3 linked regions of the Struthio camelus genome follow. The protein of the gene in region 1 purifies or fractionates together with the protein of each later gene. This does not show direct contact. Links are inferred from orthologs where the notes say so. Each region holds a gene or a part of one and is shown in the gene's direction. Other genes may lie near its edges.

Region 1 (3,746 bases):
CGCAGAATATTCAGTGATTTCTTAAATAAAAGGAACTAGAAAGATATAAACTCTAACCCCGTCACTATAATTGTTGTAATTTTGTAGAATACTATAAGAGAACTTACAGAGGGTCCTTGCAAAGGCCCAAGATGTTATTAAAATAAACAGTAAAACAAAACAAAGAGTGGCACAGGTTATAATTACTTTACAACCATACATGGTCAGCATTCAGTGTGTCAAAGTTTGCCATTTCAAAATGGCATTTCGAACTAGAGAACGGATTTTACCAGTTTGAAATTTTACATTTAGTCATTTGACATTAGTCAAAGGAGAACCCCCCCCCCCCTCAGGGCATCAGCTGGCCAAGCCTAATAAATAACATGACCCGTGCAACACAACACCTTGCACAGGCACAAAAGCATCAAGCCTCACACACCACGCTGCTCATCTACTGGGCTTTTTAATAAGGCAGCAAACTCCGGCTATTAAAGCTTGCAGAAGGTTAACCTCTGCTGGAAGCCACCGCTCCCCAGGGGAGCGCGCACGCCTCCGCCGCCTCACGGCCGCGCCCCGCGAGCTAAGAGCGGGGCCCGAGGCGCGCACACGCTCTGCTCCGGCCGCCGCCAACCGCCGCCTGCGGGGCGGCCTTTTCCCAACGCGCCCGCGGCCCCGCTCCGCCTCACCCCGCGGGGCCCCCAGCGGCCGCGCTGCCCCGCGGCCACCGCCCGCCGTGAGGAGAAAGGTCGGCGGAAGGCGGGCAGGGCCGGGCCAACGCCACACACAGCCCCCGGGCGGCTTTCTCGCCTCCTGCCGCCTCAGGCTGCGCCCTTCCCTCACGGGCAGCGGCGGGCGGCTGCGCGTTGCCCCATCACAGGCCCCCTCCCCTTGCCGCTGCTGCCGCCGCCTCAGGGCGAACCCGCCCGGCCTGACCCCGGCGGTGACATTGGGAGGACGCCCCGGCGCGGCCCGCACCTTCTTGCCTGCAGTACGACATGGCGGTGCGGGGCGGTGCGGTAGCTTCCCTCTCGGCGCGCGCGCAGACTGACCCCGCCGGCGTCCCGTTCCCGCTACCACCACAGCAACGGGCAGCGGCGCGCGGCTCCACGCTGTGACCTCCCGCCTCCGGAAGCGCCTTCCCTGCCCTCCGGCGGCCGCGGGCGCCCCTCCTCCCGAGCGCCGAGGCGGGAAGGGAACGAGCGGGTTCTGACTACGTATCCCGGCCTGCCGCGCGCCAGCCGGGAGGACTCTGTTTCCCAGCGTGCCCTGCGGCGTTTGGGAACTACGTGTCCCAGCAGACCCTGCGGCGGCGGCGCGGCGGCGGGCGGCGCTTTTCTGCCGCTTCTCTGAGGCGGGACCCGGCGAGGGGAAGACGAAGAAGATGTCGAGGAACGTGAGTGAGCGCTGATGGGTGGCGGTTTCCCCCGGGGGACCCGGCCGCGGAGAGGGGCCTGGGGCCGGCGGTGGGGCTGGTGCGAAGCCGCCGGGGGCTTCCCCGAGCGAGGCCTGTGGGCCTCCCCGCCGCCCTGAGCTGCGTGTGCTGCTCCCCAGTTGCTTCTCGGTTATTGCCCCTTTCCAAAATACACGCGTATAGAAACCCATGCGCTTTAACGCAGCACCCTCTAGGACAGGAACAACACTTTTGTGTTAAGCTAGCTCTCCTTTTGTGGCCCGAGGTGCAGTTATTCTAAAGGCGGTAGGCTCTTATCCTCTGGTGAGGTAAAACGTAGCTTGTTATTTATAGCGGTGTTGTAGCTGCTCTGGAATTCAGGAGTATTGCTCATTTTTTTCCTGGCCTGGCTGTGGGGCGTGTATGCAACAGAGAAGTCCGAGGGACAGGCTGAAGGAAGCTTTAACAAATGTTGGGCCAGTATATTAGCAATTTTTTTTTCTACCAAGCTTATTTAGTTCTATCGACTTTATTTATTGACTGTATTTCCACTATCGAAAGTATGACGAGACAGTTGCAAGTGAGGAAAAGCTTATGTCCGAGGAGAGAGGGGCTGTGCTGCGGAGTAGCAGTTTTAACAAAGCTGAAAGACTTATTTTGAAACAGAACGCCTTGCCCTTTTGTAGCAATACTGCATTTTTGGTTTGCCTCCAACAGTTCTCTGACACAGGCAGCAAAAAAGAACATGTCAAAATCACAAGCGAGTCCAAACCAGGGTTCCTGGAGAGGCTCAGCGAAACTTCTGGGGGCATGTTGATGGGACTTGTGACATTTCTTCTGTCTTTCTACCTTCTTTTTACCAATGAGGTAAGTGAAACACTGTTAATGTTTACGTTACTTTATAACATCGCAGCTGACGTGACATTCAACTAGTTTTGTATTTACAGGCTTACTATAATGATTGTGTTCAAACCTTATTACTTCACCCAGGAGAAAAAAATAATGTGTTTGGAGAGTCTGTTGCTTGTACTGGGGATATAATGGAAGAATGGGGATCTCGGAGCCACAGATAGAGATTTTTCTATAGAGTGTGGTGGAGACGGTGGCTGTCTACAGTAAGAGAGATAAGATTCAAAAGCTTTGAGGGGAAACAGGCTATAGGCAGTATTATTGGAAGAGGCTGGTATGAGCAGCAGCTTACATAGAATATATTTCTGTGTGCTAGTGCTCAGTCTCAAAAACTAAAATTAGAGGGGAAAAAAAAACAAAACAATATTATTTACTCCAAGCAAGTAACCAGCCACATTACATTCTCTGTTTCTTGGAATAATGTAGGATCTTCATTTCCAGTATCATTATAGTTGTGTTGAAGGAATTAATACTCCACCTTGCAAAGCTGAGCATGTTAATTATTCTTGGTGTTATTTTTTGTCTTGGTTTCAGATTGAAAAATAGTTAAAGTATGCAAGTTAATCTTAAGACATGACCCTTGCAAACGCATGCTTTATATTTTCCGTCCTGAGAACTTCCACTGCAGTCAATGGAAGTCCTGGTGGTGGTAGAGATGAGCTTGATATAGGTGTTTGAAGGATCACAGCTGTTGGGGGGGTGTCTCAGAGTGTGGATATTTGGCAGTTTTGGAGGGCAGGAGCAAAATTCTGTGAATTTTCACCTATGACTTTCTTCCATACTTCTGCAAGAGAAGAAAGAACTACTCCAAAGTTAAGTGATTTTGCAGGGAAAAGCACACTGTAACATGATGGCAAGGCAAGGAGAACTTCTGCCCCAGTAGTCAAACGACTGAGAAGACGACTCCTAACTGGTGTAATCATTGCGCTTACTCGAGAATAATGAACAAGGCAAAAGGTGAAGAGCAATGACTTTAGAGCCTTGTGGGAACGGTCTGTGTTTGGGTTAGTAGCTTAGATGACTTCAATGGGCCTGCTGCACGGATAAGAAGTACTGCCCCAAACTTCTTCAGACACAAAGAAAGAGAAGGTTAAGAATTACAAAAGCATCTCAGGAAAACTCCTTGCGGCTAAATGTACAAGCCCTCTGTAGGGTCTGCAGATTACTTGTATGCTAGCATTTTTCACAAAATGATGCTGTACAATTGATCTTCCACAACTTGATTTTGTTTTTCTTGACTGCAGGGACGAGCTTTGAGGACAGCCAAATCTCTTGATGAGGGACTTTCTCTTGTGGTCCCTCTTGATAGTATCCACGCTGTCTCTCAACAGAATGAGGGAAGACTAGTGCACTTAGCTGGTGCTCTGAGCACGTCAAAGGTAAATAAAACTAGCATCTTGAAGACAAGAGAGCTTCAAGGGAAGGAGAAGTCTTTACTGCTAATTGAAGCTATGTATATTTGATATCC
Region 2 (3,746 bases), on another chromosome or scaffold:
TTAAAGTTAACATAATCTCTCTGCTTTATTCAGGGGCATGGGATATGTACAGAGCATACCGAGACATGCGTGAGGCAAATTATAAAGGTGCTGACAAATACTTCCATGCTCGTGGGAATTACGATGCTGCCCAAAGAGGCCCTGGCGGTGCTTGGGCTGCCACAGTGATCAGGTAATGGAGCGTGCGTGGCTTGTGAACAGCGACTTACTGGGGGGCTGGGCATGTTAGTTAGCGTGGAGCCCTTGCTGACTTGTACTCAGCTTTTGACCTAGAAAGAGTGGAGGCAAGGAAGCGCTCGACCTCCGAACAGCTTGTCTCCTTAAGGAAAGGAGCCTCTCCTCTTGCAGGGGAATTAGGGTTTTCTTGTTCTCCGAAGCGGGCAGCTTTCCTACCCCCTGTGTTTCTGGTGCTACGGGACTCTTTTTTTTTTCCCCTTGCTGATTCGTTTCCTAACAAATTTGTGGCTGTTACGGTAGTCCTCAGATAAGGACTCGGCATACGTTTGCTTCTCTCTCGCATTGAGAAGTCCTGCGGAAAAGCTAACCTGAGGCGAGCGAGGAAACCAACGCAAAGCGATAGCGTGACAGGGGAGTTACGGTTGCTTCAAGTGGTCCTTTTTTTTCCCCCTCCCCCCTTGCCAGCAACGCCCGGGAGAAGTGGCAGAGCCAGGTGAGCGGCCGCGGCGCCGAAGACACGCGTGCTGACCAAGAGGCCAACGCCTGGGGCAGGAGCGGCAGGGACCCCAACCACTACCGGCCGGCCGGCCTCCCCTCCAAATACTAACGGGGTCCCTCTCTCCCTTTACCCCGTGCTCCGCATAGCCTGAATAAAGACATGTCCCCGCTTTACCTCGACTCGCCCCTGTCGCACTCGCGGTTCCGCTTGAACGGGCGGCGCGGACCGGTTCAGATCGGCTGGGGAAGGGCGGGGGGGGGGGTGGGAGGGGCACGGCGCGGCGCCGCCCCGCGCCGCCAGGGGGCGCTGCGCTACGCGGCGCCGCTCTGGCGCCGCTCTCTCGCCGCCTCGTTGGCGGCCCGGCGGCGGCGGCGGCGGCGGCGGGGCGCCATGGACCGCAACCCCTCGCCGCCCTCCAGCGAGGCGGAGGAGGACGAGGGCGACGCGGTGGGCGGCACGGTCTACAGCAAGCACTGGCTCTTCAGCATCCTCACGCGCCTCATCGAGGTGCGGCGGGGCCGGGGTGGGGCGGGGGGGCGCCCCCGGGGCGGGGCTGCGGCGCGCTCGCTGTGACCAGCGGCCGCAACGGTCGCAACGGCCGCTGGGGTCCGCGGCGCAGCTCACGGCCGCCGCCTTGCCTTGCCCCTGTCCGCGCAGGTCATTAGCCCTGAGCAAGGGGAGCCCGGCGAGGGCGAGCGGACGGAGCTGGACGAGGAGATGGAGAACGACATCTGCAAAGTGTGGGACATGTCGATGGACGAGGTAGGAGGGGGCCCCGCCGGGACGGAGCGCCGACGTGGTTACGGGCCGCTGCTGCTGCCGCCGCCGCCGCCTTGCCGCGGCCGAGCGCCTTCGGTCCCAGCGGCGGGGCTGGAGGAGGACGGACGGCTGCGGTAGGCAGCAGGCTGAGCGCTGAGCGCCCGCCCTCGGCTCTCCGGTTCAGCCGGCGTTGCCTTTTCCGCTTTGCGGAGCGGAGAAGGTCTGGTGAGCGAGCGGGGAGCAGACCCCTCGCGAAGGACCCCTTTCCGAGGCTGAGCAAGCGCCTGGTGAGCGCTCTTAAGCCAAGCACCCGTTGGCAAAAGAAGGCCTTTTCTTGCTTCCCAGCTGCTGGGCGCCATGCTGATGTTTGAGGGTGCAAAGCAGGGTTGCATGTGAACGTAAAAGAAAAAAACACGATGTGCCAGACCTTCCCCTCCAGGTGTCTCGGGGTTTGTGCAGGGCTAGTGCTTAGGATCAGCTGGCCTAAGTGAGACCGTAGTCAGGACTGGTTTCTTGTATGACGTTCAGGAGTTGAACAGGAGCCTTGAGTCGTTAGGACACCATACCTTAGCTGTATGTGGTAATTGGCTGCAATTACTTCAGGTGCATAGCTTTTATTTTCAGCAACTTGGCTATAGCGATAATATTGATTCTGTTTCTAAAATGGTATATTTCTCTCTAGCCATCATAACGCATCATAGTAAAAAACGTAGTTGTCTCTGACAGATAAACGGCAGCTGTAGATTCATAGAGGCAATTTAATGTAACTTTTTGGATTTTTTTCTGAACGTTCTCAAATACTAGAACCAAGTAAGACTTTTTTTTAATCCAGCTTCTTTTCTCAAGTAAGAGATTTTTTTTCACGTTCTCTCTTTAGACATTTTTGAATAAACATGGAAGATATGTCCTTCACTCCTAAACAGAGAACTAATCTCGTGGTTTTATGAGGTGAAACAAGGAGGAGATTTCTAAGACTTTCCTCCTTTGTATGCTCTGAGCAAGTGCTAATGGTAATCCCATCCTTTTTCTTTTTATGTGCCTGGATTATGTCATGGTCCAAGAAAACAGCATTTCCTGAATTCTGTGTCTGACCCTCCGTGAGATAGAAAGCAAAAGAAACTGAATGTGACTGTTCTGTTTGGCTCCTTGTACAACATACCGCCAGCATCTTTACTCTTAGGGGCTTGTTGAGCTTCTGTTATTGAAGAGTGAGGATGGTAGTATAGCGTGTTATTGCCAGTAATTGTTGGCAAATACTTGATGTTTTGTAATGAGTTCAACATCTATGTTGAACTGTGGACTGATCTATGTGATCCAGTCCTTGTTCTGTGAGAAAAGGTTTGACTTGTGTTCGGAAATTATCAGTCAATTTGCTTCTCCATTTGCTTTTTCCACAGGATGTTGCTTTATTTCTTCAAGAGTTCAACGCCCCAGATATATTCATGGGAGTTTTTGCCAAGTCAAAATGTCCTCGCCTTACTGTAAGTACGGGCTGTCACAAAGCTATCCCATGTTAATAGCAACAGTAGATAGCGCTGTACATGCATTCATAAAATATCGCCCTCCTCTTCCCATTGCATTTTTGAATGAGTAAGGGAGGAAACAGAACACACAAAATCCAAATTTAATTTTTTTTTTTTTTGCACGGTGTATCTAACATGGTCTAATCAATAATTATTTCAGTAATGCTGAAGTTGATATATGTCACTATTGATAAAGGTTTAAGCATTCTAAACCATGTATTTTTAAAAATCTCTATACTCAGAAGATGAGTTTTGCTGGAATTATATTGAGAGCCCTTTCTTTTATGAGGAAGTGAATATCTGAGAGTCTTGCATTTATATGTTGATGTTTTTGTTCTTAGGACTCTATTTTAATAGTAGGGGTGTCAAATTAGCTTCAAAACAGTGTGTGTGTGTGTGTGTGTCATATAAAAAGAGAGAGAGAATGCGAGCAAAGTTAGTTTCAAGGTACAGTCTCTTCCATGGAACACCATAACTATAACAAAAATCTGAATAGTATCTCTCATGAGTATGTTTATGTTTAGGTCAATCTGACAACATTGCTTAGAAGATCCACATCTCTGTCTTGAAGTTGATGGATTGTATGAACTCGGAAATCAAACTGGAAAGCCTCTCTGAACCTTTCTTACTTTGTATGGTGGCTGTGGAAGTAAAATTGTGAACTATGTCGCAGCAGCTTAATAACACTGTGTTTTGACTTTTCAGGAAATCTGTGTGGGAATACTGGGAAATATGGCTTGTTTCCAAGACATATGCATGTCTATTAGCAAAGATGAGAATCTTGGGTA
Region 3 (3,746 bases), on another chromosome or scaffold:
ACTGCCCTCTGTCCTGTCCTGTTTCTTCATTTGCAGTATAGGCTACTCCTTCACTAGTTTGCGGAGCGCTTGTGGGTTTGTAGCACTTAGAGGTTCTTCCTTGGAAATCAGGGTAACAGTATAAAACAGCATTGTCTGAAAGAGACCTGCACGTTATTGGCACCTAGGATTTTTTAAGGTGGTGGGGAGGAAGTTGTTGGCAGTACATCTGATCATATCTAACTTCCTGGATGGGAAATTGCATGTTTTCTTGTCTCTGAGGAAGAGCTCTGTAGTCTCCTCCTCCCCGACCCCACTGTTCTGAAAACATTGATTCTCCCAGTCACTGAAGCAGCCTTTTATCCGGAAGTAGCCTAGGTGTCATAGGCAGCTATTCACTGGGCAGATAATACCTCTGTTGAGCATAACCGAAGAGGAGTGGTTTCATTCCCTTTAGGTAGATTTTTTTGGAGGGTCTGTGTCTTTCTGCCTCTTATTAGTATCTTCTGAGGGTGGTTCTGCCAAGGTGAGGTGATACTGCTCTACAGGAGGATTTTGGATGCCTTGCACAGCTCCAAGAGAGATGGGAGGAGAATGCTTTCCCCAGGCTCCTTTGCAGCATGTGGCTGGCAGGAATGGTGGTAATAGATACCCTAAAAAAGGGGCAAAGTGGACTCTCAGCAGTGGCAATATCCTGCCACCTCTCTCTCCCTCTTTCTCCCTCTCTCTTGGCCAGGCTTGTGGCTGGAGAGGGCAGCTAATCTTCTTCTGGGTGGTGGATCTGACTTTGCAGCATCCCCCTGGCAGCCCTGGGAAGACTTCTGGCTGTGTCAGCCAAAATTCCTCCTGGGGACTTTGCTGCAATGCAGCACACCACACCCCTGCCAGCGCTGGGCTCAAGCCTGGAGGGGTTGATGCTGTTCAGCTATAGACCTGCACTGCTATGGAGTTCCCACCTCCTCTTCCAAATTAGCCCCGATGATTTCAGATTGCTTGGCATTATCTCCCTGGGGCAGTTGGTGTCTGCAGCGTGTGTCAGCGCAGCCTTGCGCACATTTGGTTTCACAATGTGCTGCCTGCAGAAAGCGCTCGCTCCCTGAAGGGAACGGCTGTGGTTTCATATTTCATTTCCCTTGTACACTACACCCGAATTCCAGACGCTTGCTGGCTTTACTGCTGCATGGGCTCAGAGCACAGGTCTTTTGCCGAATCCAGCAGACAGATAGGGCTTCCCTCAGCTCAAGGGAGTGGACCATGAAGACGTCAATTTTATTTCTGCTTTGCCTCTCAGTTTTCCCAGGCTTTTCCCAGGGCAGAGTTGTTGGAGAGGATGAAAGTGGTTTTGCTGAATGTAATGTGTTCTTCTCTGGACAAGTCCCACCAGAAGGATTTACCGAGCCGTTCCATGTGAAAATCTGTCAGCAGTACAACAAAGAGCCACGATTTGCAACACTCTACAGTACTAAGGACAAAATCCCTCTTTATTCAGCTTTTAAGTATACAAAACCAGCGCAAAATGAAGAGGAGGAGTGGCTGGTTGAACCGCAGGTAAGTCAACCTTTCCTTCACTGTAAAGCAGATGTTCCTTGAGAACATTTCCTCTGAGGTGAAGATATTAGCTGGGGATGGGATCTTGCAAAGGAGTCAAGAGCTTGTGGAACCTCTTTTGATATGAATTTACTGCAGCCAGCTTATTCTGGTGCTTGGAAGTGAACAAATAGTTCCTTATCCCACGGAGCTTGTACTGAAAAATAAGAGGCTGCTGCATGGGCTGTGGAATGTGAGGGGAAAAGAAAATCGTCTTTTACCCGGTAGGATCTGTTTGTCTCGTTTAGCTAGCTACCTCAATTAGGGAGCACTGCTGGTGGATAATAGGGTTAAACATTTCAGTGTCAGGCTGAAGGCTGCTCGGTTGCCAGCATGATCCTAGTGTTGATAAGGGCTCTTTAGCTTCACTGGACAGGAATAAAACATGCATTTGTGGCTCACCAAGTTGACACAGCAGCTTTTTGTTGTGTTCCTCTGTTGCAGATACTGGATAGAGAAGTGGATTACAGTGTCCTGGAGCAGAAATGTTTCAATTGAGTCAGAAGTGGGCAGTATAAAGAGAATATCACTACAGCCTCAGTGGTTTTTGCCTCCCTTGACACTTGACATGTTTAACCAGGTCCTTCAGGCTGTTATATTTAAATATATTTATATTTAAATATTTATATTTAAGTATTTTAACCCTTAAACAATTGCTTGTGCCTTAAGAGAACGAGCACACTTTACTTGACTTTTTTTGCAATATTGCAGTTATTTCAGCAGTGAGCATGGGCAGTATTGTAGCAAACACCAAGCTCACCTTGTCTGTTCAGCTCAAGAAAGACTGGCAGTTTCTGAGGGTGCTCTGTAAGGACCAGAAGCAGTCGTGGTATTCGAGTAGCATGTTGCCAGCAGGGCCCTCGTGTGCTAGGTGCTGTACATACCCAGAATCAAAGCTCATCCTTGTCCCAAAAGGGTGGCTGCTGTTCATTTTCCTTCTAGGATGCTGAGATATTAAGGCATTAAACACTTCCCACAAGGTGGCAGGAAGTGAAGGCAGGGTTCTGAAACCCTGATTTTGACCTTGGACCATCTCCCTGCTCTCAGTGCTGGGTTTTTAATTGCAGGAGTTCCTGGGAGCCTTTTGAACTTCTTTTCTTCCACTCCGCAGATGCCCGTAGGAGGTGTCTGCTTGCTCTCTTTAAACAGAGGGAAGGGTTTTTGCACACTCTGCCATTATGGAGATAAGGAAGTGTGATGAATTTTTAAAGCACGGAGAAGACCTAGACGAGTAAACATCTGCTGTCTGTGCTGTGGAGGCAGCAAAGCAAAGTGGCAGAGATGAGATCCTTTCCCATTTGCCTTGGCCACTGACCGCCATTGTCACCTCTAGGCACCATAGCTCCTCCTGCCCTTGCAGTCTGACTCACCAGAGCTGCTGCAGCAGCTGTGCAGGCCCAAATGCCTTTTCTGCTCTTTGGACTCCTCAAAGTCCCTTCACAGCAGGTTCCCTGTGCAGGTCTCCAACACTTCTCTGCATCCAGTTCACTCTGTCCCTTGCCACTTCTTCGCTGACCTGGTGATTGGCCCCCCTAGCACCTGCTAACACCTGAGCCACACCTCTTACATTTCCTGCTTCAGAAATATATCTGAGCCCCCAAAATTATTGCTAGGCTCTACCCTTAGTTGCTCTGACTTTGCACTAGTGTAGCCCCAGGGGTAGCTGTGAATCTGTTCCCTGTTACACTAGGGTCTGACTTAGTCCCTACAGATCAGTGATAGTATGAAATAAACTGAGAGTTTTGAGGATTTTTCTTCCAAGGAGCAAGCTACTCCTCCCAGTACTAAACAAGACAAATCCCCTGAATTATTTTACCTCCTTCTCACTCTTGCTTGCTTGTTTTGTTCTTTTTCAACTCAAAAACATCCTTTAAGTGACAATATTGTTCTTATTTGAAAGGATACACCACATCCACACACGTGATTAAGATAGACAAGATACTGAGCTTCCCTCAGGACCAGAGAGCTTTGGGCAAAAATGCTTTACCTGTGGAAATGCTTCCTAAGCAAGACTTAGCCTTTGGCCACAAGGAAAGATCCCAGTACGGCCAGCTTAGAGAAAGCTGCGCTGGGGATGGGGGGGCATCTTTACTGAGCCATAACACTGCAAGCACCTGTATCACGTCAGGTGGCATCACTAGGGAAACAAGGAGGGCCGAGCAAAGATCATCTCCATCCTG

Evidence for each region.
Region 2: the proteins of TMEM43 (region 1) and SAAL1 purify together in Homo sapiens (affinity purification with mass spectrometry; 3 studies listed by BioGRID and IntAct, with this or other methods). This does not show direct contact. The link is inferred for Struthio camelus from reciprocal best matches to the Homo sapiens genes TMEM43 and SAAL1.
Region 3: the proteins of TMEM43 (region 1) and ENDOD1 purify together in Homo sapiens (affinity purification with mass spectrometry; 3 studies listed by BioGRID and IntAct, with this or other methods). This does not show direct contact. The link is inferred for Struthio camelus from reciprocal best matches to the Homo sapiens genes TMEM43 and ENDOD1.

What each region holds. Positions count from the first base shown.
Region 1 is NC_090955.1:9,007,850-9,011,595, forward strand, and holds the start of TMEM43 (transmembrane protein 43), read left to right. Parts: upstream 1-1,254; 5' UTR 1,255-1,360; coding exon 1,361-1,372; intron 1,373-2,086; coding exon 2,087-2,236; intron 2,237-3,522; coding exon 3,523-3,657; intron 3,658-3,746. Other genes in the region: CHCHD4 (mitochondrial intermembrane space import and assembly protein 40), read right to left, coding at 955-976. UniProt on the Homo sapiens protein: May have an important role in maintaining nuclear envelope structure by organizing protein complexes at the inner nuclear membrane. Required for retaining emerin at the inner nuclear membrane.
Region 2 is NC_090946.1:19,858,085-19,861,830, forward strand, and holds the start of SAAL1 (protein SAAL1), read left to right. Parts: upstream 1-972; 5' UTR 973-1,066; coding exon 1,067-1,183; intron 1,184-1,333; coding exon 1,334-1,438; intron 1,439-2,832; coding exon 2,833-2,916; intron 2,917-3,663; coding exon 3,664-3,743; intron 3,744-3,746. Other genes in the region: serum amyloid A protein, read left to right, coding at 34-172, 643-784. UniProt on the Homo sapiens protein: Plays a role in promoting the proliferation of synovial fibroblasts in response to pro-inflammatory stimuli.
Region 3 is NC_090942.1:211,866,893-211,870,638, reverse strand, and holds the start of ENDOD1 (endonuclease domain-containing 1 protein), read left to right. Parts: upstream 1-863; 5' UTR 864-957; coding exon 958-1,527; intron 1,528-3,746. UniProt on the Homo sapiens protein: May act as a DNase and a RNase. Plays a role in the modulation of innate immune signaling through the cGAS-STING pathway by interacting with RNF26.